2 linked regions of the Caenorhabditis elegans genome follow. The protein of the gene in region 1 purifies or fractionates together with the protein of each later gene. This does not show direct contact. Each region holds a gene or a part of one and is shown in the gene's direction. Other genes may lie near its edges.

Region 1 (16,098 bases):
GAAGCAGAAGCATTGAAGCTGGACCCAAAGCGGAAGAATGATGGAAAGGAAAAGGATCAGAAATCGTCGTTTGAAGACCCGAAAAAAGTAGCGTTTAATGTTTCCGACAAGTGTACCTTGCACGTATATTTTCGGTACTAGAATATTTTTTAATTGATTCGAAACATTTAAAAATTTCCAGAAAACACCGCCCACTGACAAATCAAGGGAAAAGCGAACGTTTCACGGAGAAGAAATATACGATGGGCGAGAGGAAGATTATGAAGAAAGGGGAAAAGCCTGCGGTGCCACAATTGGTACCACCTACGTCATCATCCACCACATCTGCTTCTTCTTCGTCATGTAGAGAAACGAAAAAGCTCTGAACTCTTGTTTTTCTGAATAAATTGTGTGCTGATTAGCTAATACATCGAATCTGACGCGCAAATTTTAATATTTTCATCGCTTCTTTTAGATACGGTGGCTCTGATCTTACATATTTATTATTCTCTCAAAAGATTAATGGAAATATTAAGGAACAACGGAAATATTAAGGAAGGAAAATAAAAAGAACAACGCATAGTTGGAAGGAAGACGTACAGAATAAATTTACATGATTTAAAAACAAAAGAAAGAAGAAACATGCTTCAAAGATAAAAAATTTTGGGTTAAAAAGTAGAATGTCTCGAGTTATTAGTATAGAAATTGTTGCAGACGTTCCGTTAAGCGATATAGTAATAAATAAGAAAGCATTTGTAAATTTATACATCCCAGACAGTCAAGGAAACATGCATCTTGTTTGGTATAGATTCTTCTATAGTGACTGTTGCAGCAGTTCCCTCCTTATTTGTAATGTCGAAGCCATTTTCGAGTGTGTTTGGGAAATACTCAACAAAATCTTTTAATGAGCTAGGCAAATGTGACATTGTTCGGGTAGATGAAGCTCTCTCATAATCAATTCCTTTGAGAATAGTTTTGACGGACAATTCTCTGTCATTAAATGCGGGTTTTCCTGATAAAAACAAATGAATCAATCTTTCATTTGATCCATTAATCCAATGTTTTAGAAAAATGCTGATGTCTTTCTCGTTAAACTTCATATATTCCAAGTATGCAAAACTACTGTTATTTAGTATCAAATCGTTCAATGTGATATTGCACAAAAAACACTGACTTGCGTTGAGCAATTTGAAATTTTGAATTATTATTTTGTGGCCTGGTTGTGAGGTTAGATACAGCTTTTGCAAAAGCTGTAATTTGTCAACCTTGGATAACTGGTTTTCAATAATGCTTTCATTATAGAAATAATCCCAGAAAACAATTGAATATGGAGTAGTCAAGGAAATAAGACTGACATTCCGTTCCCAAAATGTCTGAGGTAGATTTTCGAAAATGCGACAATCACGGTTCATAAAGATGAAAAACACTTCAATTTTTGATGTGTTGAGAATATCGAATAATGCCACATCAAGTAGTCCAAAGTAAAAAACATCTTTTCCCATCTTTGTTTATACATTCTTCGTCTATTTTCTTGGACGTTATTTCTTTCCTCGGAGGCTCTGACATCAATTTGAAAAATATCTTGATTTTGCTTTGAATACTCGTCACAACGCACAAGATCCAGTAAAACGCGCGACGTACGGAAAATTATGCGAATTTTATTTGTGTGAGCAAATGTGATTTCAAATTTTTGAAACTTTATCTTCAACGACTGTACAATCTTCTTTGTTCTTTTCGAGCAAAATGAAAGTGAGAGTCTGCAAAAATCAAAACTTTAAGTTTTAATAATTTTTTTGAATCAGGGTAGTCTAAACATTCAAACTATTTGATAAACAAATTCAAAAATGGACTGTCACTTGTAGGTTTTTAGCTTGAAAATGCTAAAAAGGGACTCCAATATTCAATTTAAAACAAAAAAGTCAGGCTGAGCACGATAAAAATTACTCAAAAACTCAAAAAAAAAAAAACGAAAAAGTGGGTGGTACTAAATTCTGGACAACTGGGGACGGAAAATCCAGAGAAAGAAAATCCGGAGCAACTTAAGATTTTGTTGAGATAAGAATTGCGAAAAATCTAAATTCATCCAAAAGCTTAATCAGTAAGTTCCAAAATGTTCAGACCGAAAAAATGATAAAAATGTTTGTGAAACTTACAAAAAACAGTGTCCATTGTTTGTAGAACATGTTTTTTAGCGTTTTCGGGTAGCAACAGAAGTGGGAAGTTAGATAGAACCATGATTTTGGAGTCGCAGGTAGAACTGAAAATATTTGTTCAAGTTAGTCTGAAAAATAACTGAAAATACACTAGCAGACAGAGAAAGAGAGAGGGATTTTTTAAGAGTAACAAAGACTATTATTGGATAAAAAGAGCAAATGGTTTAGTATCGATTTGACGTTGTGAATGGCTACATTGGCCATTAACTGTGTATAGCCATCCCTGTCAGATTGACCCTATGCCTTAGATTCCTATCGAGACACACCTGCTCTTTCTACTCTGCATTTCCAGAAATAAGTACATACAAATTATTGTGAGACCTGTTCAACTAACAATAAATCAATTCAATTGTATTTTTCAATTGGTTCATAGGACCTATATAGGACTAAGACTTGGAAAAGTAAGAGAAAAAAGTTTATTTATTTCTTCTCAAATATTCAAAATTTCAAAAAACAATCAATCACAAACAAAAATCAACATATCAAACAAACAATTGAATAGTGGAGGAGGAAGCAACAAATTAAGATGACCAATTGGAACAAGTCCGTGTTTTGGTAGAATGCAACTACTATCTTTCTGAAAAAACCGTCATTCTCAGATAAATCGAACCACGCAGGCACCGCTCCAAACCACGCAGGTGACTGCCCACCACGCAGGCAACGCGTCAAGACCACGCATGCAACCAAAAGCACGCAGGTGACGCCTAAGAACCACGCAGGCGACTTGACGGTGTGCAGCTATTGGCAGTGGCTGCAAAACCACGCAGGTGACGCCTACATACCATGCAGGCAGCCAACGCTCAGCCACGCGCGGGATTCCTAGGCCAATGGCTGCGTACTCCTCTTGAACAACTTTTTCTTCTATTTTTTTTTCCTAATTTAATGGAATTTTCCGTTTTTTTTCTTGCAAAAAGCACTTTTATATTAATTTTCAATGTCTTCATGAAACTCAATAATTGTTTTCAGGTTTTCAGGTATCAGTAAGCTATTCTTGGCCATATTTTTTTAAACAAAAATTTTCAGGCGTTTTTTACAATATTCTACATGCTGTAGCCGGATTCGAAGGACAGTTCCCGAGTGCGGATTTTGGCGATGTTTTCTCCCGACAGGTGGATCAAAAATGGTAAACACCCTTCTATCAATTTGTATTTCCAAAAATCAATAATATTGCAGCTTGAACGCACGGAAAAAGATGAGCCAGGAAAAGGACACACCATCGCACTGATCACTGGGACGAAAACAACTGCCTAATGGACTTTATTTTGCTTCCCACCCTTTTTTTGTTGTTATTTTTGAGATTTTCGTTGTTAGAATATTGTAATTATTCATCAATTCGTTTTTTGTTTGATTTTATTAGGAATTTCATCACAATAGTCAGTTTTCTGTACATTTCGTGACTTTTTTGGTGTTTTTTTTGTTTTTTAGTTAATAAATAAACAATATTTTTGAAAAACAATCGTAATTTGCGTTTTAGTTGGTTAAACGGTAGGAAGGGGAAGGAGCGGGCTGCGAACTGCCATTGCTGCAAGACCACGCAGGCGTCGCCTCCAAACCACGCAGGCAACGCGTTGAAACCACGCAGGGACTGGCATTCTTGAGCGTGGTTTGTACGCGTTGCCTGCGTGGTTTGGAGCGGCGCCTGCGTGGTTCGATTTATCTCAGTTGACGTAACCCAAAAGAAAGAAAAAGAGAAGCACATGCATACCTAACGAATATTAAGTTTTCAAACAAGCAACCTATAAAAGACTAGGAATTGCGGGATTTCCCAAACTTCTTTAACTTTAAATTTAACATAAAAAATTAAACATCGGAAAATTATTGGCGTGCGTGGGATGTGTATTTGTGTGGGAAGTGCCGCGTGTCAAAACACCGTTTCGGCCAAAGGGCTCATCAGATTGCCGAGGTGATTAAGATCGCACCTTATGGGGAAACATTACAAATTTTGGGTCAAATTGAAGGAAATTTATTCAGCTATCAGTAATCGTTAGAAAAATGTACGTATGACTTGGCAGCCGCGCGAAAAGCTCATGTAAAAGAGCGCTTCACGTGTTACCATACTTTTGGCGCACCCTGTATAAACTGTCATGTGGAACGTGGCTTATTTTTTATTTTGTTTTTTATTCAAGCTCCTCCCATTCCTGACATTTCGTTGAAATTTTCATTGATTAGTTTATTTAAAAAAATGGGAGGAGCTTAAATAACAAACAAAATAAAAAATAAGCCACGTTTCACATGACAGTATATTTTGATAATATTTCTGTTTCAAAAAGCAAAACAAAAAATTAATGATAGTAATATTCGGGAGTATGGGTGCGAATTCCTCGAAAAAAAACAATGAAATTGGAGATTTTGCAGAAGAGAGCTAGGAAGAAAAGAGGAAGAGAAGGAGGAGAACGCGGGGAACGGTTGGGAAAAAATGGGCAAAAATCGACAGAAAATAGGACGAGAAAAAAATGCAATAAAAAAGTTTGAAATGGAGTGGGAAAGGGACTTTTTCGTTTTCGCGTTTTCGTTTTTTCGTTATTTTCGGGGTTTTGACGAAAACGAATTTTTTCGTTTTCGTTTTCGAAAGTGTTCGAAAAACGAAAATAGAACGACTTTATTTAAACTTGGTTTTTTCTCATTTTTTTTTGGAACTATCGCCGAAATTTTGCTCTCCGGTGTGGATAGTATTGAAAAATCAATTATTTTCTCCTCAAACTTATTACTGAAGATCAACTTTAAGAACAAAAAATGCAACAGTTCTCAGTTTTGGATAAAAATTAAACGACTCTTTTACGTCAAAATAGATTCATTCATTTTATGACAGGACGTTTCCTTGTTCAAACGATTTGTTAATTGGTCATTAAAACATACTTTTTTCCGCTGAGTTATATATAGGATGTAGAACTTAATGCCTTTTTCGAAAATAAGGATTCTACTGTAGCTCAATTTTTAATCTGAAATCGTGTTTTGAACATTTTAATTAAAGAAATAACAAATTAGGCACTTTTTGACTAATATCTGATTACCGTATATTCTCTATCAGTGCTGCATGTAACACTAATTTCCAGGCGCTTTTCGAATCCAGCACTATTAGAGACTGCAGTACTACTGGAGATGCAGCACTAATAAAGAATATATGGTAATTTGTGAAAAGTTTTCGAATAAAAAGTTTGAAAAAATTTCGACATCGGAAATTGTTTTCAAAACAAAAAAAAAACAAAAATTTTTAAGTATCATCAAAAATTTCTTACTATTAGATATTGCAGAAAAAAGTTGTATTTCCTGCTTGAATAAATTTCTAGCCAAATTCAATACTTTCGGTAAGGCAGCCCAACATTCTTTGGAGCTCTGAACAAAGAAACGTCCTATCATATTATTTACATATGCATCTTTTTTGAAAAAGTGAGTTAATGAGCAAAGTAAGTCAATGAGAGAGAATTAAATAAGTATTTGCCAACAAAAAAGCTTTTGAGGCAACATATGGTCTAAAAACCGTAAGTACAGTTTGTGCCATTTTCGTTTTCGTTTTCGTTTTCGTGTTTTAAAACGAAAATTTTCGTTTTCGTTTTCGAAAATGGAATTTCGAAAAAGTCCCAGCCCTGGTGGGAAAATGGGAAGATAAATATGAAGAAATGATTTGCCCCAAAAGATTTGGAAAATGATACTGTTCTAAAATTATATTTTTTCGAAATTTTTTTATTCGCAAAATTAAATTTTTGAATTGCCACTAGGGCTCACAGTGGTGAAGGTACACTCAAAACTTAGCAAATGACACTGTTTTTTTAGATGTCTTTTTTTAGATTTTCTAATGAAAACCATTTAGTGAAAAAGTTAGTTATCTATTCAGTTGAGGAATTAATAACTCAAAGTGATTCTGGGATGTATATACAATACTGCTGCATTTCTCACAACTTTATCTCGACCACCAATTTTTTTTGATGAAAAACCATCAACTAAAAAGTTGTACTTCAGATTAAAATAATCAACTTTGTAGTTGACAACTTTGCCATAAAATTTTTTCCACGGAGATGTAAGCATCCAAAGTGAACTCGATTTTGGAACATGTTCAACTATACCTCAGGTTTTTGACTGAAATTGTGTTCTGAACATCCAAAGTTTTTTTCAGAAAATTTAAATTTCCCGCCAAAATGTTTTTTATTCAGAAAATTTAAGTTTCCCGCCAAAAAAGTATTCTTCAGAAAAGTTGAATTTCCCGCCAAAATGTTTTTTAGAAAATTTGAATTTCCCGCTAAAATGACTTTTTCAGAAAATTTAAACTTCCCGCCAAAATTATTCTCAGGAAATTTGAATTTTTCGCCAGAAGGTCTCACCACGATGTGTCTACAGTATAAAATCTACAGTAATCCTACAGTACTCCTACAGTACCTCTACAGTACCTCTACAGTACTACTACAGCACCCCGACCATGTCACTCCATTAACCCTAAACCAATATCCCTTTACCAACCGTGGACCGCACCTCCGGCGCGGCCCCCGACTTCTGGAGCTGAAAAGTAATTTTTCTGAAACTACCGTAATCATACAGTACTCCTACCGTATCACTATTGTAATACTACAGTACTCCGATTATATCTGTACACTAACCCCAACTCACAATCCCTCCAGAAGCTAAAACTTCGCAGACTATAAAGACTACATACAAACTATGAACAAACGGAATAAGCGCTTTGTATATATAGTAAATGATAATCCAAAACTTTGCACACTACAAAGCCTGCATACACTACAAACTCCGGAGTCCGGACAGACTAACTGTATTTTTTTAAAATATAAGCAATAATGATGCTGAGCATCAAAGGGATTGAGCCATCGTTAGGGATTGAGCGTTCAAGTGAAGGAGCACGCTAGTAAATGAGGGTTTGCCCCGAACCGACGCCACCCACCGAAGAAGACGACCTGGACTTCAAGTCCTCTCCACCCTCATTACCACCATCACTCGCTCCTACTTCAAAAAATGAATGCGTTTCAGCATATTCCCTTGTTTTCTCAAGAAAAAATCATAAGAAACATGTTTTTTCACTGCGAAAAAAAATTGAATATCCAGAAAAATTTCAATTATCAGCCTCTTCTCCTTCTTTTCCGTCGACACGCTGCTCGTGAGTACTCTTCAATAGATCGTAAAGTGTACGAGCACGTTTCAAGTTCGAGATATCGTACGAATCCAGTGAGCTCTTCATCTTCTCCAATTCGCGATGAGCACTATCAAGAGCACTCTGTGCAATTTCGTTGGCTTCTTTGGGAAGATTCAGGACATCGAAGTTTAAGGCGCTTGCATTGAGGGCAAGTCCAAGGCGAATTGGGTGAGTTGGCTGCATCTTGTCCTTAGCGATACCAAGAGCCTCCTGAAAGTCATTTCATTTACATCAAGAATTTAGTTATTCAAATACCTGATAAGCGATTCGCGACTTGTGTGCATGCTCTTCTCTGTTGATATCGTCGTATTGGACCAGATACCTAAAATGGTCGGCGACCATGCCACCGAAGAGAGCCTTAGTTTCATCATTTAGCGCATAGTCTCAAGCCAAACAGGCGGGGCAGTTCAAAAATAGTTTGATATATAGTTTGATATAGTTTGATGAATAGTGGCGTGGAGTACGGTTTCGCGGCAATTCAAATACTACTATTCTTGAGACCAGACGAATCGGACGATTAACGGCGGCGAGGGATTCGGATCGGGGGAACCCAATCTGTGGGACGGGCCACGCCCACGATCAAATTTTGCAACCTCCGCACGGTTCTATGGGCGTGGCCAATCCCCCGATGTCAACAAATTTTAAAAAAAACCTTCCCCGATTTTATAAATATTTCAGCTTGAAATCGCGATGTTCATTTGCGAACTCGAGGCATTTTCGAAACGTTAAATGTTCCCGCGCAATAATGCTCCGCTGAACAGTGCACGCTTTTTGTGTAGATTCATTTAAATATTCATTTTCCGTCAGATTTCATGTAGAAACCCAAAGATTCGCTCATTTCGCTGCTCGATCTTTTCTTTTTCTTCATTCAACCGTATATTATATGCATTTTTCGTTTAAACGTTTTTCAAAAATTTTTAAAAATTGCTTACAATCTTCTTTGTAAAAAGAATATATTTTGCAACCAATTTTTTCGATTCTCCATGGAAAACTTATCAATTTAAACTGCATTCACTGTTACACTGATAATGCTTTGAACGACGGCGGTCGGAGAACTTCCAACCGATTACTGTTCTCCAATTTCATGTTTCTAGAAAAAAAGAAATTTCTGTCGTTTCATAACATGTTTTAACACGCAGAGCCTTTTTTTTTCGAATGAACCGCCATTTTCTTTAAAGGCGCAAGCTATTCCCTCTGCGCGATATTTCGCCGCGAAAAAAGAAGCCCCGCGAAAAAACGTATTCGAACCGCGGAATTTCCGCGAATTTGTTGCTGGTTTCTTCTAGAATTCAACGATTCAATGCTCATTTCATCACAATTTTTTTTTGTAAAATTATCCTTCTCGCTTTTATGCTCCTCTTGCCCTCAATTTTCTGTCTAAAAGCTATCATTTCCTCTGATTTCTTCCTCGATTTTCAAATGTTGGCCCAAAATAGTGATTTTTTCTTTAATTATATCCTAATCCCCACCAACACGATTTAGCAATTCTCGAAAATTATTTTTTTGCGTTGTTCAGGTAAAAGTCCTGACGAAACCTCCTGAGTTTTGTGTAACGTGCTCACCGAAAGATTAGTGTGCTTGCTGCGCCCGTTGTCACCACTGCCATTCATCCTTCTATTCCCGTGTTTTCTTATCAAATGCCCAAAAAATCTGAAATTTTTTGTGTAGACAATGCTATATATGAGGAGCGAATGTGTGCGCCAGAGAAAAAGACGGACAGACACAAATTGAGTGAGTGTGCGTTGCCCACTTTAGTTGTTGTCATGCGACGGCGGCGGCACGCGCTCTCTCATCGGCCGGCACTGCTGTCCATCGATTTTTCTTCTTTCAAACGTCGTGCGGGCTGTTTCGAATGTTCTAGGGCTCTCCGTTTCGATTATTACTCTCGCCTATGTTCTTCTCTTTTCGTTCTCAATATTTCATTATAAATTTTGTTTCAGAAGACTTGCTCACTGAAAAAATGTCCGATACCGTGGAAGAGCTCGTTCAACGCGCCAAGCTTGCCGAACAAGCCGAGCGATACGATGATATGGCTGCCGCCATGAAGAAAGTAAGATAAAACATCATTTACGGAGGTTTCAAATTTACTATTTTTCAGGTGACCGAGCAGGGACAGGAGCTTTCCAACGAAGAGCGTAACCTTCTCTCTGTTGCCTACAAAAACGTCGTCGGAGCTCGCCGTTCATCGTGGAGAGTTATCTCTTCCATTGAGCAAAAGACCGAGGGATCCGAGAAGAAGCAACAACTCGCCAAGGAATACCGCGTCAAGGTAACTACACCAAGCAAGATTTTATTAATTTCAAGAATTTTAGTAACTTATTTACATTATTTCAGGTTGAGCAAGAACTCAACGACATCTGCCAAGATGTGCTCAAGCTCCTCGACGAGTTCCTCATTGTCAAGGCTGGAGCTGCTGAGTCGAAGGTCTTCTATCTCAAGATGAAAGGAGATTACTACAGATACCTCGCCGAGGTCGCTTCAGAGGATCGCGCTGCCGTTGTTGAGAAGTCCCAGAAGGCTTACCAGGTATTTGAAAATAACTAAATTCTTGATGTAAATGGCATGACTTTCAGGAGGCTCTTGATATCGCTAAGGACAAGATGCAGCCAACCCACCCAATTCGCCTTGGACTTGCCCTCAACTTCTCTGTCTTCTACTACGAGATCTTGAACACTCCAGAGCACGCTTGCCAACTCGCGAAACAGGCTTTCGATGATGCTATTGCTGAGCTCGACACGTTGAACGAGGATTCGTACAAGGACTCGACCTTGATCATGCAACTTCTACGTGACAATCTCACTCTCTGGACATCTGACGTTGGAGCTGAAGATCAAGAGCAGGAGGGAAACCAGGAAGCTGGAAACTAAGTACGATTTCAAAATGTTTTATTGCCATTATATAAAGCTGACCTTTTTCCTCTTTTCCTTTCACATCAAATCTTGCTTCGAAAAAATAGTTTCGGTTTTCAGAGAGCTGAACTCCGTTCTCTTTCCTCGCATCTCTTCAACTTTCAGTTATCCTCCAACATTTCCGGTACGTTAGCCGAGAGAGTTGCCTAATCACCGTTTTTGTTTTAGACTTAACGTATTCACCAATACTCCATACAACACTGCGCAATAGCATCATGAAAGAAAATTCGGTCTTCAAGTGCTCTAGATCTCCAAGCCATAATTCTCTTCATGCTCTATTTCGCTGTAATTCACTCCGTCACTATTGTCATTCCTAAAATGGCGTATTGTTCTATGATTATTATGTGCTGTAAAGTATAATGAACCCCCATCTTCCATTTTTCTCTTATTATCCCCGATCTTTATTTTTAGATCTTTTTGAACATAAATGTTTGGTGAACTTTTCCGGTTGTCCGAATTTCATCACAACTTTCCAGGAGTTTTTCGAGTAATGGAATGGAATTTATTTTCAGATTTCGATGAAGGAGCATAAATAGGATAAAACATTTGCATTAACCTCTTAGAAGGTCTCAACACGAAAAATTAAATGAAATGTGAAAAAGTGTGCGCCTTTAAGCTGCCGAAAATTTTTTGATAGTTTCTTCCACGATTCGTTAAAAATTAAGTGTTTTATGGTAACATTTGAGTGTTCTTTTGAAAATAAATATATTCTTTGTCGAAAAACTATGAAACATCGATAAAAATTCCGCAGCAATAGAAGTTTAAAATTACAGTACTCTTTAAAGACTCACACCTTTTTGCGTTCAACAAATATTAGACGTGTCGAGACTAAGTACCGTACTTTTGGCGCAAAAAGCTCAAAATTTCGCTCCTGGGCAATATAATTTTCGGAAAAAAACTTAATTCTGGAGACTTCATGTGTTTTCACAGATCATGACGAGACCGATTGAGAAACATTTGGAAATACATTTTTCTTCAATATATCTTCAAAGTGGCCGATTGTATGTGATCATACGGAATAACGATGGATGTGTTTTGTGCTTTTCGGCAGATTTCGAGCTTTTGAGCCAACAATTTTCAGCGTTGTGGATGAAAAAACATGTCACGTTGTTTAATCAATTTAAAATCTTTAAAATGTAATGACTATTTTTATGGACTGCGCAGTTGCCCCATGTTGAAAAAAGATGTCAATTGCAATTACATTTTATTTTCCGTATAAGTTAAATTCAATAACCCAAAGTTCAAAAAAGTACTATTTATGAGTATTATCACGTGGTGTCAGAATGTCCCATGTCGGTTTGAACTTCGAAATATGCGGGAGTTGAGACGTAGACTGACGTCACATTTTTCTGAGAAAAAGTTATCCGCATTTTTGTAGATCATACCGTTATGGGGCAACCTGACACCACGTGTCTTATTCGAGATCCATATTTGAGTGAACACCCGGATAAGCTGGTAATCGTCTTTTCTTTTCAATTATGTGAACACTGATATGAATAATTTATTAAATAATTAATTGATTGAAGTTTCGCAGGGAAGCTGAGGCTTGCTGAGCTCTAATTCAGCGTTCAACACAAAGTCGGCTGGTTCTGAACGAGCTAGGAGAACATAGACTGTGTTGGCTACTGTAAGTGTTAAAGCATGGATCAGGAAGTAGCTGGTCCATGAGAGTTCAGCTGAAAGTGTTGAAAAAGGTTTAGTTTAGAAAGAGAATGAATTGATACTTACAATCTTCACTTCCCGGAAGCACAAGAAGAGAAAAAAGAACAGGTTCGAGCAGTGTTGCTAACGATTTGAACAATTGAATATACCCGATGACAAAGTAAGAGAATTGTCTGAAAATGTTCATTCTTGAAATTTCAAATTAATTTTTAAATCGCCTTACCTTGATATCAAAGCGGCGCCCTTATAGAATCCTCCACAATTGAACCCGAATGAAGCCTGATAGAAAGTGATGCAGATGACGTGTAGATATGGATGCTCGCGTGGCAGCAAGACTACGAGCATGAGAAAAAACGCGGGTACTTGCAATGAGATCGTGTTGAATAACCGCAACTTTGACTTTTCCGGCAGTGTACGAATACGATCGGACGCGATACCGGCGAATACTCGAACACCGATGAATAGATAACCTTTCATGGAATTCAGCCATGCATTAGCCTGGAAATTCACAAAATTGAGGGCAAATATCGGTGCAATATCGGTCTTTATTGCAATTTCGTGAAATTTTGACATGGCACTTTAAAGGCACACGCTGTTTTTCTCAGTGGGTCTCGCCACGCTCTCAACCATTGTAGTCGCTACAGGTACCAAATGTCATAGAATTGTTCATTGGATGTGGAAAATTAAGTTTGCCCCGACGTGCCTGAACACAAATTTACCTGAATATCCATTCCGAGGTATTGATAGTATTGTGCACCATATACAAGAAATACAAAACTGGCAAAAATATCGGCGAACCCGGCAACCCACACGGCCCAAACTGACTTGTCGGTGAGAACTTCTCGATACGGAGTCTTTTTTGTCTTATCTCTCTTGGTTCCTCCACCAATGTGTTGAAGCTCGTGATGTGTCATTAGGCAATGATCTTCCGGATCGTCACGATAGAACAAGAACCAGATGATTGTTGAGATGAAGAGAATTATTGAGAGAATATAATAGATAGGTCGCCAGCCAACATTTGATGTTGTCTGAAATATTATGAATTTTAAATATACCGTCTCAGTGCAATAACCTACCCATCCTGCCAGTGGCAACTGAATTACAGCTCTTGCCGCAGTGAATCCACTCAACGCAGCCAGTGACATTCCTACTTCTTTGATAGGCGACCACTTTGAGCACACGTATCCGACAACTCCAAAGTCAGCAGAGTAGAGGATTCCTTGGAATATCCTGAATACAAGTGCTACATGGTAGTTCGTGTCAAGAGCCCATGGCATGAAGGCAGTGACGACGGCACAGAGCAAACTGGCAAATGTGAGGACAAGACGGGGTCCATATTTTTGCATTAGCACATTCTGAGGATACATTCCAATGAGTGAACCAATTGCCATCGCTGAGATCAGACTGGACTTCTCTTCTAATGTGTAGATGTAGATCTGAAAATTTATTGTTGATGCTAAGGTTCAAAAATGTTACGCCTGAGTTTTATGGGCTAGAAGACCTGATTTAATGTCTAAGAACCAGAGTTATGCGGACCATTTTTGAGTGAAACTTTTCATGTAAATTTAGAAAAACACTGATGAATAATTTGACAAATTTCAAGACTAAATGTAAGTTTCTCTAAAATTCTCCAAAAGTTGCTATACGGCAAGGCACATTTCGATCAGCATATTGCGACGTTGACACAGATTTTGAATAACTTGTAAAGTGTACTACTACGTTTATATAGGGCTTCCATGGCTTGCCTCAAGCCGGCATGAAGAAAAAGTTAAGATGTGTTCTAGTAGAAGACATGGGTAAAGGCGGTAAGCAGTCGGAGGTCGCCTTAACGTCCGTCAGGAAGGCGTTTTGGCGCCTACATGGAAGCCCTGCGTTTTTAAACCAAAGTTCACCTAAAAACATCGTCTTTAAATTGTTCGAAAAAAATACTCCGCGCGGATTTTCTAGAACGTAAAAGTATAGAACTTTAATCTCAGAGCAACTGTTGCAAGACTTGACCTAATCAAAAATAGCTCTTGATCTATCGTGACCTCTCTTCCCCCACTTGCAAAACTTTCTAAGAGCAACTGACCTTTCTATCGAAAGGCACTGCCCCGATTTCAATCCATCATATCTTTTTTGTGGTCCATTTTTCTTTCATTTTTCTTCCCCGTTTCTACTAATGTCTTTTTATTCTACTGGTCTCATGACGACAGACGGGGGCGGTCATGCCACCAGGAAGAAAAAACTTTCAAAAAAAAATCGTTCAAAAAACCCAAAAAACTCACGTCATCTAGACCTGCTTCTGCAGCAATTGTCGAGTTCTTTTCCATATAAACCATTGAAAAAGAGAAGACGTCGACACAGTTCATAACACTTCCTAACTGTAACCATGTGAGTATAAAAATAACCCATCTGATTCGATGCTTCATGGATAGATTCCATCGGAATCTGAAATTGAGTTATTAAATCTGAAAATAGTTTAAAATTCTATAATACCTGTGGCATCTCATCTCAAGGTTTCCGAGTAGTATAGGTGATGTGTTCGGCACCGAACTGTTCTGAAAAAAAGTTGAAAGTTTATCACATTTTGTATGAATTTTTTGTCGCAGTGCATAACATTTTAAGCCGCCTTTACATTTACTTTGTCATCAGGACAAAATGGAAAGCGGACGAGTGGAAAAGAACGGATAGAATCACCATTTGTTTCATACTTTCCAGAAAAAACAATTCTTATTGTTACGGTTGACTTTTGATGCTCAGAGGCGTTTCCTATATTGAGCAAAAAAAAAAGAAACATCAAAAGGAACCGAAACTTTTATTAGTTTTAAAAAATGAACTCTGGTAAAAAATGACTTGGAATTTAATAAAGTTATATTAGTTTTGAATGTGGAATTTATTGAAAAAATTCAGATTTTAGTTGGCAACTTCTGGAGAAACTTGTTCTGTCGAGGCGTGATGGGGCACCTCTCACCTGCCTCTTGCCTATAGGCAAGAGGCAGGTATACGTTTATCACGTTAGAGGATACGTTAGAGTATACGTTAGAGAAGTAATTGTTTTAGAACACTCTAAGGTGAAAACTTTTCAGATAATTTTTATTTTCTGTCTGACAATTCGTTTTTTTTGTTTTGAATAAATTTGGAGTTTTCAAATTTTTATATATAATAGTTTAAAACAATTTCACTGAAATTGGCAATTTCTTAAAATTGTGTTGAAAAAAAGTATCCCAAAGACAGTAGGCGTAAAAGTGCTTATCTGCCTCAAAGGTCGCCTACAAACGGAATGTGTAAACTAAAATGTGTCTAATAGGCGGTAGGTAGGCACGAAGGCAGTTAGGCCGGAAAACGTGCCAGCCTACCAATAAACCCTTACTGCAGCAATCTAATAACCTTATTTGACTTTCAGAAAACATAATCTGAAACTGAATCAGTGGGAAAAAAACTTTGATTAGCCGCGAAAAATGAGTTATTTTTGTCTGTCCAGCGCGGAAATGTCTGGCATAATAATCACATTATGATCAGATTTTCAGATATGTACAGGTGAAGAAAAAGGTTTAGATCATAATAATAATACTAATACTAATATCACCCACACACCTTTCCTACAAATAATTACGAGATTGTAAACGCGGAGAGCACAAATCTCGGAGTTTTTAATTAGAAGGTTTTTGGAATATGAACTTTGGTTTGTGTACCCATTATCATATAATTAAACATTTGAAGAACGAAGATATCTCACGGAAAAGGAATGTTAAGGGAGAAAGTTCAAAAGGTGAATAAAGCTTTCCACAATCGTTGCCTTTTCTCATTGACCAATTATCAACTTTACGTCTTTTTGTTCAAAAAATGGGATGGCAGGCGCCGGGGCTCCCTTCTGTTATTTTTTTGTGTCCTGGAGCCATACCATTGTGTAAAGTGCGCTCTGTCGAGAAGAAGTGAATAAGATTTTATTGCTTGCCATTTTTCATATGAAACTGGCAGGTGACGGAAAGTTGACTTTGGCTTTTTTCTTCATTTTGGATCTCGTTTTGGATCTGGAGAGGTTACTGTAGTTATGTATTTGTTTGCATTCAAAGTTCGTCTAATAAATTCCCGTAATGTGCTAAAGAAAACAGTTTGAAATAAGACGAACAAAGAGAATAATGGGTATTCAAAAGAAATACGCAAAAGCTATCTCATAAAATCTAACGAGTTCCCTCAAGTGTTCATTTTTCCTCCA
Region 2 (17,017 bases), on another chromosome or scaffold:
CTGTATTGAATCATTAAAAGTCGTTTCAAAATCAAATGCTCTTCGGAGAGTAGTTGTTGATGGAATTAAAAGTATTGACCCAGTTTCTCTAGCAATTGATAAAAGACCAGCCACTTGGAACATCAAATTTCCAATTCCTTAAAAGTTTTTGATTGTGATTCTAGAACTTTCAACTTACCTTGACTATAACCGAAATCTGAGAAAATATATCTCTTTCCGGAATTCTCCAAAACTGAAACTCTATTTATAACATTTTCAACATTTGATATGGGCCATGGACAGTTGTCCAAAGTTGCTTCGTTTCCTGAAAATTAAAAATTAAAATATTTTCAGAACCATTGCGAGCAGCACTCCAACTCCAAAGCACTCCTTTTCTTAATTAAAAAAAATTTCAGTTGCAATTTTTTGTAATTTTTGAATTTCCGCGCAAATTAATAACCTAGCTTTAACATTTTTGAATATTATGAATCCGACACAGTTCCCTTCCGGGTTACTAACTCCATTTAAAAGAGTACTCACCTGATTGATAAAATACATTTTTCTTCATGTACGTAGCTGGCCTTTCTTCAGGTGTCAACCGTGTTTTTGATAAATTGAATAGAAATAGAATGTAGACACATAATCCAATAAATATTGAATGATACAAGGAGCGAGTTACTGAAACATAGACAATTAAATTTGTATATATACTTTAAGAATCTATTTTTTAATCAATATAATTACCTGAAAATCTAGTCATATTAATTGGAGAGTTATGAATTTTTGTCACTTATTATCGTAGAAGTTCTGGAGACGTAGAACGAAAAAGGGGAAAATAAGTAAGAGTGAGAGTTTTTCTAGGTCATTTCTCTTGTTTTCCGTCATATGGATCAGTACATTTAGATGAACAAAAGAAAAGGTTTCGAGGTGATAACATAATCTTGTGTATTGATTAGAGATATCTCTTAAAATTTTGGAAAGCTGAAAAACAGTCATTCGAGATGGAAATGTTTTTTTTAAAAAGAAAGACAATTGTATGGGAATGATTTTGGTTTTTATTAAATAATATCATTAATATTTTTTTAGAATTTTTTTTTAAAAGCCTACTCTCTTAAACTGGAAACACACCGAATTAACTTTAAATGTCTGAAATCCAATAAAGAAAAAATACTGGTTATAATTATTAAATTTTTTTGTTTTAAAAACATAATAAAATACTAAATAGTTTTATAACTTTTATAAGTTTTATAATTTAATGTTTCTTCAATTTTTTCAAAAATGTTTTTTTGGAGAAAAATTATTATTTTTCTGTAAGAATTTTTCAATATTAGCCATGTTAGTTTTTGAGGACAACTGCAACAAATAAACATTTGTAAGAAGGCAAATAAAATCAATTGTTCTACAACATTAAAAAACCTATTAAATTTCAGGAGTAAATGTACTATTCAGATTTGAGAGCTGGAAATCCTCGCCCATTTATTTTTCCTTCAAAAATTGTTGTAGAATGTAGATAGGAGTACGGTAAATTGAGTTTTTGTCCCTCTTCACAGCGCCTATCTACAAAGAGATAAAATTACTACCGTATTCCAATTTCAAAAAATATAAGAATTAAATTATAAATTTAGGTGATTGATTCATTTTTTTTGAAATTTTCCCACCAACTCTACAATATTTATTAAACAACAAGACCTTTTCCATCGCCCAGAATGCGTCTCCATTAACATTGTGGAAGTGAGGCAGGCGAAAGGCGCCACCAGTTCGCCTCACCGGATGGAATGTACAATTGTTCCACAGCTCTCATAGTATTCCCAGACTGATTGAAACCAAAATAAATTGTTATTTCCTGAAATTGAAATCGAATCCCCATCGGTCTCCTCTTCCCATATGTTTGCCTTCCGCAACAGTAAAGTGAAAGTTTTCGTATGAAAAAACAAAGAGCCAAGGTTTTTTTCTTCCCAGTTTCGTGCCAAGACCCAGATGTCTTTATTTATTTATTTTATAGTAACGCGGTCAAAAAACAAAAATAGTCTGTGATGGTGGTAGAGGGCGAGGTGTCTGTTTCTGGGAGGGGTACACAAAAAAATGTCTCAAAATAAGTAAATACTGAGAAGAAGAAGAGGAAGAAATGAGAGATGCCAGTGACAATATACTGAACTGTTTATTTGTTTTGCCCTCTTGCTCCTTCGATTTCAAATTCAAAGTGTGGCTTTTGACTGGAAATTTTTGGTTTTTGGTATTTCTCGAGTGATGACGGTTTTACTGGTTCTTGACGATTTAAAATAGATTTCAATTTAGTTTATTTTTTGGGTTTAAAAATTTTTAGAGGAATTTCAGAATTTAATTTTAAAGGTGGAGTAGACCCAGTAGGGCTTTTGTCTATTATACTTCAAAGAACTTAGATTTTTCATAATTTCCGGTCAAAGTTTTGGCAAACTGCCAAAACTTTGAATGTTTTAATACTAGTAATTAAAACAAAATAAATAACAGTATTAAAAGTGTAGGAAATTTTTTTTGGTCGACTTCCAAAATTATGAGTAGCAAAAACTGAGCAATTGTCACTTTTTAACAGTGAATAAAACATTTTCAAATTTTTTTTTGAAACGAAAACCCAACTCTACCTCCAAAAAAAAGGTTTTGAAATAAATTTTCAAGTTTAAAGTTGCCGTTTGCCGGAATAAATTTAACGCCAACTTTTAGGCAAGGTACTTTTCGAGTTTTTAACAAAAATAAATATTATTTTCAGATTGACCAGACCTCTTTCGACAGTTTTATATAAATTTTACTGAAATAGGTACTTTTGTACTTCTGCCGAAAATATGCCCCTGCTACCAATCACCCCATTTTTCACTCAAATTCAAACAAAATCATCTTTCTCAAACTTTTGTTTACATGAAAATACAATAATTTTGCGGCCTTGTTCCAATTGCAGTGTACTTTCTGACATTATTCTTGTTTTCTTGCCGCATTCTGCCGTACTCATAAACTCGCTGACCCCATAGATTCTCCGCCGCCAGCAGATTTTATTTGTCAAGGCCAATTTTCTGATTTTTCATTCTACGGCAAAGTGCATCTTTTTTGGCCGGCGCGGTCGGACATTGGAAAACATAAAAAGTAGGAGAAAAATATTTGATTTCCAAGAAATTGTATAAAGAAGACTATAGTTTCTTATTGATTTCATAGGAAATAGTAGAACTGCAAAAAATTATTCAGGCATACACTTTGCAGTAGGCACGTGGCAGGCAGATAATTTTAAATTTTTTTCCTGTTTTCAAAAATGTTTTAAGATGACCAATGATTTCATAAACTTACTATATTAAATGCCGTAGCTTAAAGATCACAAGAAAATGTTTCGAATCCATAAAAGAAGCAATTCTCGTGATACATATTAACCACGCAATTTTTTATAATTTAATGTTCTCTTGAGAAACCAGAGCTCAAGAAAAAAATGACAGAGATATTCTCAATTTTTGAGCACACTAAAATCTCTGACCCCAAGACGACATTAATGTGCTTGGCCAATGTTCAGAATTTTTGGGATTTTGGAGGTTTTTTTAAATTCTAATATAAATTCTTCCAAAAAAGGTAAAATAATGGGTCTCGTCACGATAAACTTAAAATTCAAATTCTCCAAAGCAATTACCTTTGGTGATAGAAATTCAAAAAGAGAGACGGCTCGAAAAGTGCCCCTAGAAAAGTGATAACGATGTGAACTTTCGAATTAAAGTGTTGACGCAAAAAATATGTTTCAAACTTATTTTCGAATTCCCGATTTGTCTCTTTTGCAATTCATTTCTAGTTGATAAGAGGGTTGACTCTCCCGATTCCATTTCTTTTTCTCTGAAAATTTTTTCAAGAACTGAACATTTCAATTCTTTTACGAATCGTTCTCTTGGTGAGCAGGAGATTTTTGTTGCAAAAATTGTGTTCAAGCCTCAAACACCAGTGACCAGAATCTCTTTCTTTCAAGTTTCACAACATAATAGAAAAATCCTTTTAGTGCAATATCTTGGCTCTTCCGTGGTGGTCTTGCCAGTTGACAGTTTTACAGTAGTTTTATGAAAACTACAGTATAGTTTCATTAAAAAAATTTTTTTCTGGAACTCTAGTTAATAAGAGAAAAGATTTCTTAAACTTTTCGGTCCTGACATGCTCAAAAATTTTCAACTACCGTACTTCATGCATATCTTTAAATTTTCCCCTATTTCTCTCGTTTTTTTATTACGGAAACACTAAATTCTGAGAATGCAGCAAATTTGACGCGCAAAATATCTCATAGCGAAAACTACAGTAACCCTTTATATACCTACTGTAGCGCTTTGTGTCGATTTACGGGCTCGATTTTTGAAATAAATATATTTTCGAACTGCGAGAACAAACTTTTTTTTTCACTTTCCTTCGAAATTTTTTAAATTTAAATTTGAAAATCGAGCCCGTAAATCGACACAAGAGCTACAGTAGTCATTTACAGTGATTTTCGCTACGAGATATTTTGCGCGTCAAATATATTGCGCAATACGCATTAATAGAATTGTTTGTTTCCGTAATATCGGTAGAGCAAATGTGCATCACCGTAGTGAAAACATCTGTTTATCTCCCGAAAGCCATCCCTCACTTCCTCTATTCGAAAAAAAAACGGGCCCAGTACATCTCAACGGTCACCTGCTAAATTTGAAATTCAGTGGGGGGAAGGCCCATCTGCTAGAGAGTGTATCTCTCTTCTTTTTTCGATTCGTCTAGACCCATTTTGCAGACGAAAAGGCACATGATACCCATTCCCCAACAATTCAAACTAAATTTGCAAAAAAACATAGGTTCACATTATATTCATATGGGGAGACCCTTCTAGTGGATCATACACCGATACCTTATCACATTTTCTGTTAACAATTTGAAACAGACATACACAAAAAAGAATGGAAAAGAGTTTCATGGTTTGAATTTCGGAGATCACAGGGCAACCGGCGGGAACATTGGCGCCCGCCGCCACAATTGTGATCTCTTATTTTAAGCGATCACTTTTTGGAGAAAGAGAGCGAGCGGGGCGCAAGAAGGGTCGCACGTGAATGACGAGGCATCTATGTGTGGCTCCGCCCGTTTTTGTTGACTTGTTTCTCTGTCTAGTGTACTTTAACACACAATTCAGTAAGTCTTTTCCTCTTCTTCTCCTGTGCCCGGAGAAGAAGAAAAAGACAGGTGGGTTTTGATGATGATCCACGAAAATAACCGTCAGATGATTATGTAAGAGACACTTTTTGATCGTTTTCAATTGAAAATAGAACGTAGCAAATTGAAAATAGTTTTCGTCGTGTTTTTTGAAAAGTTATTTTTTTGTGAAAAACATGAGTGTTTTCTATGTTTTGCATGTTTTCTGCTCTTTTTCAGTTATTTACAAAATGCAGCAAAAGATTGTTTAGAAAGATTGAAAAGACTTAGCGCGTATAGTTTGATCTATTGGTGGGGGTGGAGTCAGTGCATCTAATTTTACGCGCAATTTTATTATGAAAAAAAAAAAAAAAGAAAAAAAAGAAAAAAAAATTTCTTTGAAAAGCAAAAAAATTGCCAAAAATTGGAGATTAGAAAACTTTTAAAAAAAATCGGCAACTCTATTACGGGAACACAAACTTGTGAGAATGCGTATTTCACAACATATTTGACGCGCAGAATGTCTCGTAGCGAAAACTTGACTACTCTAACGCTTATGTCGATTTACGTGCTCGATGTTCGAAATCCTTTGATTTAATAAAATTCATCTCGAAGATCGAGCCCGTAAATCGACACAAGCGCTACAGTAGTCATGTTTTCGCTACGAGATATTTTGCGCGTAAAATATGTTTTGCAATACGCATTCTAAAAACTTTGTGTTCCCGTAATAACCAAAGTGCTTCGAAGTTTTACGAGAAAAATCCAATTTTTTGGAACTATTGTTAACGACATGTTTAGAAAAAGGTGTTTCTTCAAAAAAAAAGAAGGAAAATTGACAGAATTTCAAGGAAATTTACAAAAAAAAATCGAATTTTAATTACATTTCTGCTATATTTATGAAAAAAATTCGTAAGAAACTGTTATTTTTCCTCAAAAAAAAAGAAAAAAAAAACCAAAATTAATATTATATACTTTTAGAAAAATATTTTTTTTTTCGAAAAAATATAATATATTCTCCAAAGTTTTTCCAGCTCAAAGAAATTTTCGCCTTTCTTTAATTAAAAAATTTGAATTTGAAACCTTCATATTTTCTGTACTTTTTCGTAAACTCCGGTGTTTGCACAGTGTAGATTTACGAACTCTGATTTTTTTTTCTTGAAATCATTTTTTTACCAAAATCTTCTCTCACGATTTCCTCTCTTTAAAAAACTCATGTTTTATTCCTAATAGTGAGTTCGTTTGGGGCGAGCTTGCTGCTTTTTCGCTTTATATCTTCTTTTTTTCGTTTCCCCTTTTTCTTTTCCGTCTCAAAGTTCATAAAACAGTTTTGCACTTTCTCGTAAACAACTCTCGCATGGGGTCGCTCAGAAGTTGATCTCTGAAACCTCTGTCGCCGGCCGCCAACCAACGAGAAAAAAAAGCATTCCCAATGTCCTCTTTTCTATTTTTTTTTTCTTCATATTATTTCTCAAGGAAAGACATATCGGTTTACTTTTCCATCATTTGACGAGAACATGTGATGGAAAAAATGGTGGAAAAGTGGGCAAAAATGGATTGTGATAAGAAACTTTTTTTTTGCAAAAAAATCTTCCTCTATACACATTTTATGTCAAAATAAGCTTCTTCTCTCTCTCTTTTTATCAGTTCGAGACGTCGGAAATGTTCATTTTTAGTTAAGATTTCAAAATTATCCAAAATAAAAACGTTTCATTTGAAATTAATTTCCTCATTGTAACTTCTATTCAATTTCTATCTGTATTTTAATGATGCAACTCGAGGTTTTTAACATTTTTTGCTTATAATTATGATTCTAAATTGAAAATCAAACTAAAATTTGCAGCAAAAGTCTTCATTACATTGCTCGAAGTGCCGAAATTTTCTGCAAAAATTCTCACAGGACATGCAAGCGTGGAACTGTCGTGAGGTATGGCGCCGCATACGCAAACACCTTGCACACACATCGAGAACTACCGTATACTCGCAGTTTAAATTTCAAATTTTCGAAATTTTTTTCCAATCATTTTTCCCTATTTTTCTTCATTTCGCTGCTAAAAATAGTTGTTTTGAACCCGATTTTGTGCGAAATCGTGGAAGTTTACACAGCTTTTACAGTTGAAAATCAAAAAAGCGCGCTTTTTTCGTCTAATTTGCCCAGTTTTCAGCTCGATTCGCCGCTACCATCTGACATCACACTGCACAATCTCGAACCGGCAAGGCCTGATTCCGGAATGAGTTTTTCCACTGATTTTGACGGTAAATTCGTGATTTAAAGTTGTAAATTCCAATTTTATTTGTTTTTTTTTCAGATGATTTCTTCAATCTCGACCTCCATCAACAAGAGCGTTCGGCTTCTTTTGGCGGAGTAACCCAGTATTCTCAACAATTTCTTCGCGAAAAATGCTCGTTCTCTCCGTATTTCCACACATCTTTAGAGACTGTTGACAGCGGAAGAACTAGGTACGCCAAATTTAAGATTTTTAGGTGGTTTGTGAAGGTTCATAAAAGTCGAATTGCACTAAAAGCATTGTTTCGTGGAAAAAGGACAAACGCTATAAAAGTTGATGATTTTTGCCCTTTTTATCAATTTTTGAAAGAGTTTTGGCTTGTGAACAAGCCTCGGTTTTAAAATTTCAAAATTTCAAAATTTTAAATGTTTAAATTAAAAAAGAACAAAAAAATATATAGAAATATATATATATATGCCGAATGGCCTTGAATTTTTCTCAATTTTAGGTCTCAGCTGACCTTTTACTGTTTCTGATTTTTCAATTCTTGTGGTCGTGTCGCGTCATCTTTTATCTGTCACATTCGCTCTGATTTTTGATCATCGAAATTTCTTTTTTTCGTTACTCTTCCAATTTCTCCATTTTATTTCCGATCGGTTGGCACAATCAAAAGTGATTTCTCTCATTGTTGCTGACCTCGAGATTTGTTTAAGGGAAAACCCTTTGATGTCATCACTGTTTTAGTTGTTTTTTGTTTCTAATCATTTAACACTTTTTCGTCTTTTATAGGCCAACAAGCCTATTGTCAGCTGTTGGTCCACTAAGCACACGGGAAATTCACGTGCATGTGAGGAGGAGAGGCAAATAGAATTTAAAGGGGTTTCCCCGATCTTTTGACTCTTTTCTCTCTTTTTTTTTCTCGCGGAGTTGCAGTTTGCAAACAACTGGTGATTAGGTTTTCTATTTTCTCTTTTCTCTTTTGATTGCTTGGAAATTAGATTTGATGCAAACTTTAATATCATGAGTTTCTGATTCAACTTTTTTAAAGACAGAAATCGTATTTTCGTTCTAAAAATAATTTCTCTCTACAGTAACCCCATTTCTTTTAAAAACCGTCGTCGCCCGTCTCAACAATTACTCACCATTGTGTGCAACATTGTATACGGTGTGACGTTCAGAGGTCGAAAACTGTCACGCGTTTGCTCCCTCACTGTATTGCCAGACAGAGTCTCTCTGTCTCTCTCTCTCTGTTCTGTCACATCAGCTGTTCTTCTCTCTACGGGAAGGAAGCACAAAATGGCAAACATTTGAAAGAAAGGGAGAGAGCAAGTGGTATTTGAGAACGGAAAAGTGCACTTTTTGCACACTGTTGTAGCGGGGTTTTTGATTAGAACAGACGATAGGTCGAAAATCAGAGAACAGAAACGAAGTACCTATTATGGTTCCATTTTAGAAAATTCAAATTTTCGAAATAAGGAGGTTTTTGGCAGAACTGGTAATTCCTGTATGATTTCAAATTTTTTGAATCAAAAATTAAAACAGAAATGTAGGAAAATCATATACCTTTATTAAAAAAGCTTGAAAAGTTTCAGGCAACGCCTGAAAGTCGCTTTTTTTATATTTGGAATTTTTAACTAACTCTACATCTTAAAATTAAGTGTTGATTCTAAATATGGGAATATCATATCGAAAATATTTTTTTTGGCGATCTTGTGCCCCCAAGCCAATTTTTTTTGAATTAAGAGTCTCTACAATATCGACCATTTTCACACAGTACGGTACTTTAATTTAATTGTCATTCCACTCAGCCTTCCTACTATACACGTCCCATTGGATTTCAGTGTCTCGTTGTCTGGATAGACTCGCGTCGAAAAAAAAGGAAAAAAAGTAGTGTGTTCTACTCACGGTCTGTCTGTGATTTTTTTTGCTGCCTCCTCTCTCTGGTGAAAGTGAAAGTGTTTGTTTTGGCCTTTAGTCCTTCTTCCTTCCTACGCTCTGATTTTCAGTGAAATTTGATCGAGACCTCACTTTTTTTTAGTCGACCTGAAAATCTGGTGGCCAAAAATATCAGTTAGATCTAGCTTATCGGAATTACCATTGAGTTATTTGTTCTTTGTACTCTCACGAAATCTTTCCCACTCCATTGCGCTATATAATCAAGCTCCTTTTGACTGTCAACATACTGACAGTCTTTGATCATTTCATCATACATTGCCAGGCGTCTTTATCAATTGCCTGCTGCAAAAGATAAAAGTCAGTCAGACGCGTTGACACCGATTTTTCTTTCTCATGTAAAAAATCAAAAAAGAACAAAAACGGCAAGTGACGTTGTATATTCTGTTTTGAAAATAAATTATTAAAAAAACAGTTTCAAAGGTCAGAGTTCTAGGCGTAAACTAGATGATGTGATAATCTGAAATTACTGTAAAAAGCCCCTCCCACGAAAAATCTTTAGGTTTCTGCTAACTAATAACGCACTTGAACTAGACTCTCTCTTGGTTTTGCACTTTTGTTATTGCCCTCTCTCTGTTTCTCCCCGCACACTCCCGTTTCTTGTTACTCCGATGAAACTCTTGTTATACATTGCTCTTATAGTTTTTGGTCCTTTTTTTTTGGAATTCAAATATTGTTGAAACCAACAACAACGAAAAAATTCCCCGCAATCATTGTTGACTTTTTAACCCATCACTTTACACACAAATGGTATTGGCATGTGTCTGTCTGAAAAACAACCCAATAAAAGTGAAAACGGGGAACATGAAGTTCGCTTTTTTCGGAATTTTGGAACGCTTTTTTTTTCAAAAAAAAAATTTCTTTTGTCGGAAAGTCTTCCAATGACGTTATTCATATAATGAATTCATCACAAAAAGGGAAATCCTAACCAAATTTTTTCGCGATTCAGTGCAAAATATTGCAGCAACTTGTCCAACATCGCTACTCTCGCAACATTTTTCCCCTGTCGTCGTCGCCATCGTTATCTCTTTCCCTTTTTTGTCTCTGCAAATGAAAACCGGTTTCCCCCGTGTTCGATTCGCGATGTCTCCTCTCGATTTTTGTGAAGAGAATCGAAAAACGAGACCAAATGGGAATACCGATGTACTTTTTTCCTCCCTGGAGGTTTTTTTGCCGAGTGTCTAGATGTCTACGTGCCTCGAGAATATAAGAAGGAATAGTTTTATCAGTCTTCTTCAAGTTTCTAGTCTCGAATTTTCCATCTAGCCATCTGAGATAAGAAGAAAATTATATGAAAATGTATCCTAGAATACTGTAATCTTCTTTATCAGTTGTTTCAACAATATCCTTCTTACTGCTCACTGAGCCCTAAACCTCTTGGATCCCACACACACAGATCTATCAATGCTATCGGTTCCGATCTGTGCTCAACTATTTCTCCGATTGCCTTCGTCTCTCAACGATCACCTTATTTTCTAACACTGATGAAATGAGCATGTGATTCGTCTTTTTTTTGCTCAAATCATTCAACAGATTTGATGATGGGCACATCGGATAAAGATTAACAAAATGTTTATCACCTTAGTGTTCGCTTCTTTGAGGATTCTGTAAATTGGATTATCTGAAACTCATCGAGCTTAAAAAGTTGATAGTTCACGGAACCACGTGACTCCCACGTTCTTCTGATGTTATAAGCTTTCTCCGTAATCTTCCATTCACTCCTTCCAGCTTTTCCCCACTGATTAATGTCAACGTGAAATCTATGATGACGTTAATGATGAGAGGATGAAAGGATTAAGATCATCTACTTCATGTTGCTCATGCTTCTTCCTTCCTTCTGATGAGTATGATCACATCGAGTTTTCAATATATTTTCATTCTATGAGAAATCCATTCCACACCATCATGTTCTATGAAACATGTAGCTTTTCGTTGTTCGTCAGTCAACGCACTTTCTTCTATTTTTATTCGAGCTTCTTGAAAGTTTAAAAAGCTCAGACCCCAGAGCCCATCTTTTGGTATACTCTAGGAAACCAAGTGAACACTTTGAGACGCCGTTAACGCTTGACGCCCTTGCTTTTCTAGAGGTCCCATGTCACATGAGCAGCTGAAATGTCTGTTCCTCTTCACTCTTTCTCACATCTCGAATTTTCGATTCTGGAGATTCCGAGACGGATAGAGCTGGAAAAAAAGAGTGAGCTGATTGGAATTCCAGACGATGTGAGTCATGAGTCACACACACTATCCATTCCATCTGAAAATGGTGGAAGTATTGCATTTCAAATGCCATGGTTCTGTTGCTCTTCGCTTTTTTGTTTTTCATGTGAATGGTTCCATCATCTAGATTATGTACACAAAAAAGGTCACCTACGAAAAAAAAAGAAAGTTCATTTGATTTTCCTCGAATCTTTGGTGAATTTCATTTCCTGGAATAGTCTGGTGTCTCCCACTATTCTCTACATTTGTTCCTCATTCTCGTCGTTTTTCTTGTCTTTTGTGGCGAATTGGAAACAGAGAAACTGAAATTGAGTAAACGAATAGAGTTGTTTTGACGATTGTGTGTGTGTGTGCAGACTTCAGAAGCCAGAGGTGTCGGATTACCATCAACTAACTGAAACGAAGAAGGACCGCTCACACGAATAGAAACCAAATGATTGGGTTCATTTGTTTTTGAGCCTTTCAATTATTGTGGTGTTCGGTGTTAGATAAGTTTACGGCTTCGAAATTTGAGCATCTGTTACCAGAACTTTCAAGTACCGTACTCGTAAAACTAAAACTGCAATACCTCCCCTCGTAAAACAATATTTAATGGGTCACCTGCTGATAATCGAAAGATCTTCTCTCTTCCCGCTTCCCTTTCTACTACTCGACGATCTGGCATAAATCTTTATGGTAACTGCAAACTTTTTGCCGCCGCCGCCACCCACATTGCCTGTCGGAACGAATAGAAAAGATCTGATTCTTAACTTCGATTCGTTCGCACCCCTCCGTGGACGACGCAATACTTGAAAAGGACGATGGAAAAGAAGGAATGAATGAGGAGAGAGATAGAGAGATGGAACTTGTTTTTACTGGTAGCAGTGTCCATCAAATGACATTGCAGTAAAGTTCTTCACTTTTTTCCCAACAATTTTTCTTACCTTTTAGATAGTCTTGTCTGTCTTTGAGGTCATTCAGCGGCGGCGGTTCTAGACTTGAGATCCTAATGGAAACGGAATTTAAAGTATCCGATTACTGTATCTCTACAGCCCTCATACGTTCCTCCGTTATTTCATTGAAACTTTTGAGCCGCATTTGCAGCTCATTTTGAGATAATCCTTTGCATGATCTCTAAAACACTAGGCGATGCCTTAAAACTCGAAGATCCAAAAGAGATCATTGAGCATCTCCGGAACAAGTTGTTCATCATGGATGGTCACTGGAATCAGATGATCTTCCTCTGCTTCATCAACTCAAGAATCTCCATACGAGGGGCTAATCACAGTAAGTAAAGTGAGAAAAAAAAAGAGCAACACTCTTCACTCATTTCCTCACTTCTTATTCTTGCCACTGCTGCTTATTCTTCTTCATTTTCTTTTTTCTAGTGCTCTTCTTTAAGTTAACGAAGCAGCGTAGAGTGATGAAGACGTCGTGTCCCAGTAATCTGGGAAAGTGAGGGCGTTTGGAAGAGAGCCGACGACGGAAGAGTAGGAGGCAGAATGAGGATGAAGAAGACGTTGGAGCAAAAGAGGAAGAGGAGTGTAATTAGTTATGAGACTAGTCTTTTAGGGAAACGAGAAGAATTTGAATTCAACTTGAGCATCTCTTTTTCTTGGAAAGCTTGTGTTTCTTGTTGATTCAGATGCACTTTTACCCTTATATTTCCTAGAGGCATTTGAATTTTCAAGAGTTTGGCACGCTCATGGGAGGTGGAGATGTCATGCAATACCACCTGTATTTTGAGATTTCTCAGAAACAATTTCACCTGGAAAAAACCTTTTTTCATCAAATCTAATAATGAAACTGACCGTGAGATCGAATGATTTTTGGAAAGGAAATTCAGAATTCTGTCCTTCTCATCCATTCATTCATCCTAAATTTTCATCTTCTACATTGCCGACGCCGCGCCCCATGTCTCGTGTGCCTCTCCTTTCCATTTTCCAACCATTTCTCTCACGCTGCGACTCCAATTTCTCTATACTATTCGACAGTTCTCTGCCCATTCCATGCCGCCGCCGCCGCTCCTCTAACTACTCCATCGTTTTCTCCGTGTTGCATTTGCCACGCCAATGGCCTAACGGCCGCCCGGCGCCCCGTCTCCCTCTCTCTATCCCTTGTCGCCGCGGTTCTCTTTTTTTTCTCTTCTTGTGTCAGTCAGTCGAACACTTCTTCGTTTTTTCCCCCATTCTACTCGCGATTTTTACCGCACAATGTCAGTGTGACCATAGCGCGGCGCGCGACCCCCGCCACCGCAGTTTGATCTCACTCTTCTCCCCACAGGACGACGAAAAAATTTGGAGAAATTCCATATAGCACAGTGATTTTTAGGTTTTGGATCTTCGCTTTTTCTTCTTTTTTCCTACATTTCTCGTGCACGTACCATTTAATGCAATCCTATTAGCGTAAATCTCATTTTCTGCTCAAAGCGCATTAGTTCAATATCAGGGCTTATATCTCCTCGACTTTTTCCTCCAAATCCTCTGAAATGTTCTGAAAAATCTTCTCATGCAACAAATCCCCCACCCTCTACTTGGCTAATCCTTAGTTGAGTCAATATTATATGAGCTATCAGATTATGAATCCATTTTGATCTAAATTTATCAATTTGGTAGAACTTTGTTAGAAAAATTTGTGGTTTGAAAATCTTCAAAACCTCGATTGAAATTGGAAATGCTCGGGTTTCTTCTTGTCATCCCTTTTTACCTCTGCGTATGTCGGTCGTTTTCTCCCATTTTGAGTTTACGGCATCCAAGGTTACTGTAGGATATAGATTTTATGCTCTAAATTAATGCGAAGAACATTTTACTGAAACAGTCACTTTTTTGGCATTTCCCTGAAAATCTGGAAATAATCTTCATCAGTTGATAATCAATGACCAGGGCTCACTAATCAAAGTGTGCACATAATTCGAAGCGAAGCGAAGTGACCACTTCGAACTCTCTAAACGCTGCTTCTTCCTCTATTCTTCGCCTTATTCTACATCTTTTTCGTCTTGTCCTGCGCTCTTATCATTCTTATCAAAAAAACGAATGTCTATGTCGCTTCACTTGTCGCCTTAATGATCATACTCTCACTCAATTCCCTCCTTCCATTTTTTTTTTCGATGACAGTTTCTCTGCCTTTTCTCTGATTTCTCTCTATTGGGGATTTTCTGATCGTTTACAATCAAAAGTGCAATGTCACGCGAATGTCATTCGATTTTCACTTATTTCGAATTAACTTTTTGCGATTCCTTAATCATTCAGTGTTTCCCTGTCCACTCACTGTCTTCAGCTGAATTCCTTTCAATTTTACTAAAGACATCGTGTTCTAGGGAACTTTTGGATATTTTCATTTATTTTCGGATAACGACAGTAATTTTAAAAGTGCACATTTCTTAAAATCGTGATCTCCTTTCACTTTTGCTAAATTATGTCTTTTCTCCATCACTTTTTCTGTGCTCTTATCATTTATTTTACAACCAACTAGAAGACGAGTTTTTATCAGCAGTAAAATGTGAAGAGAATCGCCGCAGAGTATCGAATGAAATTCGAATAGCGATCAACCTTCTTCGATTGGTTTCATTTTTTATCTTCATCAAAAGAACACTACTCTTTTTTTTTCATCGTTCTTGTCCTTGGCTTCCATCATTCAGTCTATCATCTGATTACCTCCAAATCAATCGATCTAATTTCTGATCTTTCCCGCAAGTTCTGTTTCCAAGGAATGTTGAAAAGGACCAAAAGTTATTTCTCAATCAGTCCATTACGTTGTTCGACGAGGACAAGCAGAATAAGGTAACCTGTACTTGTGCTGAAAAATTGATGAAGTTCACGTACATTGATCTATGATTGATCCATTGCTGAAAATGTTTCAGATTTGGCACAAAGACAGTTAACCCTATTTAATTTTCTGTGAAAATGAACACGCATATTTTTGATTTGTTGTTGTTGTTGTGTGCACAAAGACACTTTCAACAACAACAACCTCTCTCTCATTCCTCCATCCGTTCCTTTCTGTTTTTTCTCTCTTTTTTTGGACGATTGCCCCCCGTATCTCCCTCCCTCCCCCACCACCACTTCCAGACCTTTTTCTTACCCCTTTTAGAGCCGTTCGAAGAGCTCTGGGAGCTGGGGGAGTGTTGGCGAGTAAACATTCGAGGTCTAGGTCTCGGGAGAGAGGGACACGCTTCTTTTTTTTCAGTAGTCGTCTGACGACGACGGAAAAAAGGCAGAAAAAACGAAGAAAAAAGAAAAAGAAGAAGGAACACCGTCTGACTGAGCATGGTGGCTGAGCAATTCCGTCTCTAGTATTCTGAAATTCTCTCAATTCTGCCTTCTATCTCATACACGCACGTTCCGTCTATATGTTCGTTTTCAGCTCGCTCGCTCACTGCCGCTTTCAGCTCTTTCAGAAGCAAGCCCCCATACAAGTTCCCGTCTCTTCTCCTCTCTCTTTTTTGGTTCGTTCTGTCGTTCCTCTTCCTTCTTCCCGTTTTCAGTCATAGAATGCTACTATGTTTTTGCCTTTCTCCGCTCGCCACACTGCCTTCATCGTCATGTGCATTGCTCGACGAGCTCGGCTCACCATCTCTTCTGTCGCTACAGTATTTCTCGGCATTTTCAGTCAGTCGACATCATCGCATATAGAGCGCGTCTGAAAAATAGTCGGCTCTCTAGAAATCGAATGTATTGACATGAATACAAAGCTTTCTGACTTTGTTATTTTGTACACTTTCGCTTGTGTTGCAAATGTTCGGATTCAATAAATTCTAGTCCGGTGATGTGAATTTGAATATCAAAAGTTGAAACATCATATTCAATTTTTTCAATTTTTTGAATCTCAATACCGTAGTCTTCAAAAGCTCGAAAGTTCAACCAAGCGACAAAAGTGTTCCTCTTGCATCGCTAAGTTCACTGTACTTTTAATTCGAGTTATTCACGTCCAAAATTTGAGTTTTAGTCATTCGTAAGTTCTGATTACCAATTTATGGGCGGAGCATGCACATGATCTTACAAACCGCGAATTCTCTATAATTCTCTATAAATTGGAAGAGTTGACAATCTGTAAGTTTGCACTCGAGTCGATCTTTCTCACATTTTCCAAATATTATAATATAATTATGTGGCTGGCTTGCACCTCCGCAAGTACACCTAATTATAGCCTTTGCACACGAAGTACATAGACTGAACTTGTCGCTCGAAAGGATGATTTCTTTTTTAATTGAGATTCTTCCATTGCAAATTGGAGATAGCTCTCGCAAACTATTTGATGACGTGGCAAAAATGCACCGAACACGATTCATGCCATCTTTTCCCCATATTATCGGGTCATTCCCTCCGCCAGTCATGTGCTTCTTCTTCTTCTTCATCTTTTTCTCTTCCTTCCTTTACTTTTTCCACCACAATCACCATCATCTTATTCTTCTTCTAGTTCGCGAAATTTCGTCGGTCTCCGCTGCCGCTGCCCGATAAAAAATTGCCGATTTCCTCGATATATCGATATTCTTTTTGATTCCCAAATTTTCCAATTGTCGAGAA

Evidence for each region.
Region 2: the proteins of par-5 (region 1) and daf-16 purify together in Caenorhabditis elegans (affinity purification with western blotting; 3 studies listed by BioGRID, with this or other methods). This does not show direct contact.

What each region holds. Positions count from the first base shown.
Region 1 is NC_003282.8:11,815,089-11,831,186, reverse strand, and holds par-5 (14-3-3-like protein 1), read left to right. Parts: upstream 1-9,269; 5' UTR 9,270-9,289; coding exon 9,290-9,379; intron 9,380-9,427; coding exon 9,428-9,598; intron 9,599-9,663; coding exon 9,664-9,855; intron 9,856-9,902; coding exon 9,903-10,196; intron 10,197-10,298; 3' UTR 10,299-10,362; intron 10,363-10,406; 3' UTR 10,407-10,681; downstream 10,682-16,098. Other genes in the region: M117.4 (LEDGF domain-containing protein), read left to right, coding at 1-134, 182-365; M117.6 (uncharacterized protein), read left to right, coding at 3,075-3,166, 3,216-3,315, 3,366-3,443; M117.3 (14-3-3 domain-containing protein), read right to left, coding at 7,249-7,539, 7,585-7,671; M117.1 (Major facilitator superfamily (MFS) profile domain-containing protein), read right to left, coding at 11,751-11,914, 11,967-12,073, 12,124-12,398, 12,620-12,928, 12,977-13,336, 14,168-14,330, 14,379-14,440. UniProt on the Caenorhabditis elegans protein: Required to modulate lifespan, in concert with hcf-1, acting redundantly with 14-3-3-like protein ftt-2.
Region 2 is NC_003279.8:10,743,611-10,760,627, forward strand, and holds the start of daf-16 (Forkhead box protein O), read left to right. Parts: upstream 1-6,887; coding exon 6,888-6,899; intron 6,900-6,952; exon of another isoform or gene 6,953-6,961; coding exon 6,962-7,045; exon of another isoform or gene 7,046-7,095; intron 7,096-7,283; coding exon 7,284-7,374; intron 7,375-7,427; coding exon 7,428-7,578; intron 7,579-8,808; exon of another isoform or gene 8,809-8,947; intron 8,948-9,455; exon of another isoform or gene 9,456-9,602; intron 9,603-13,534; exon of another isoform or gene 13,535-13,593; intron 13,594-17,017. Other genes in the region: B0205.4 (L-Fucosyltransferase), read right to left, coding at 1-137, 179-304, 520-657, 724-739. UniProt on the Caenorhabditis elegans protein: Forkhead-type transcription factor. Binds to the promoters of genes that contain the daf-16/FOXO binding element (DBE), TTGTTTAC, in their regulatory region.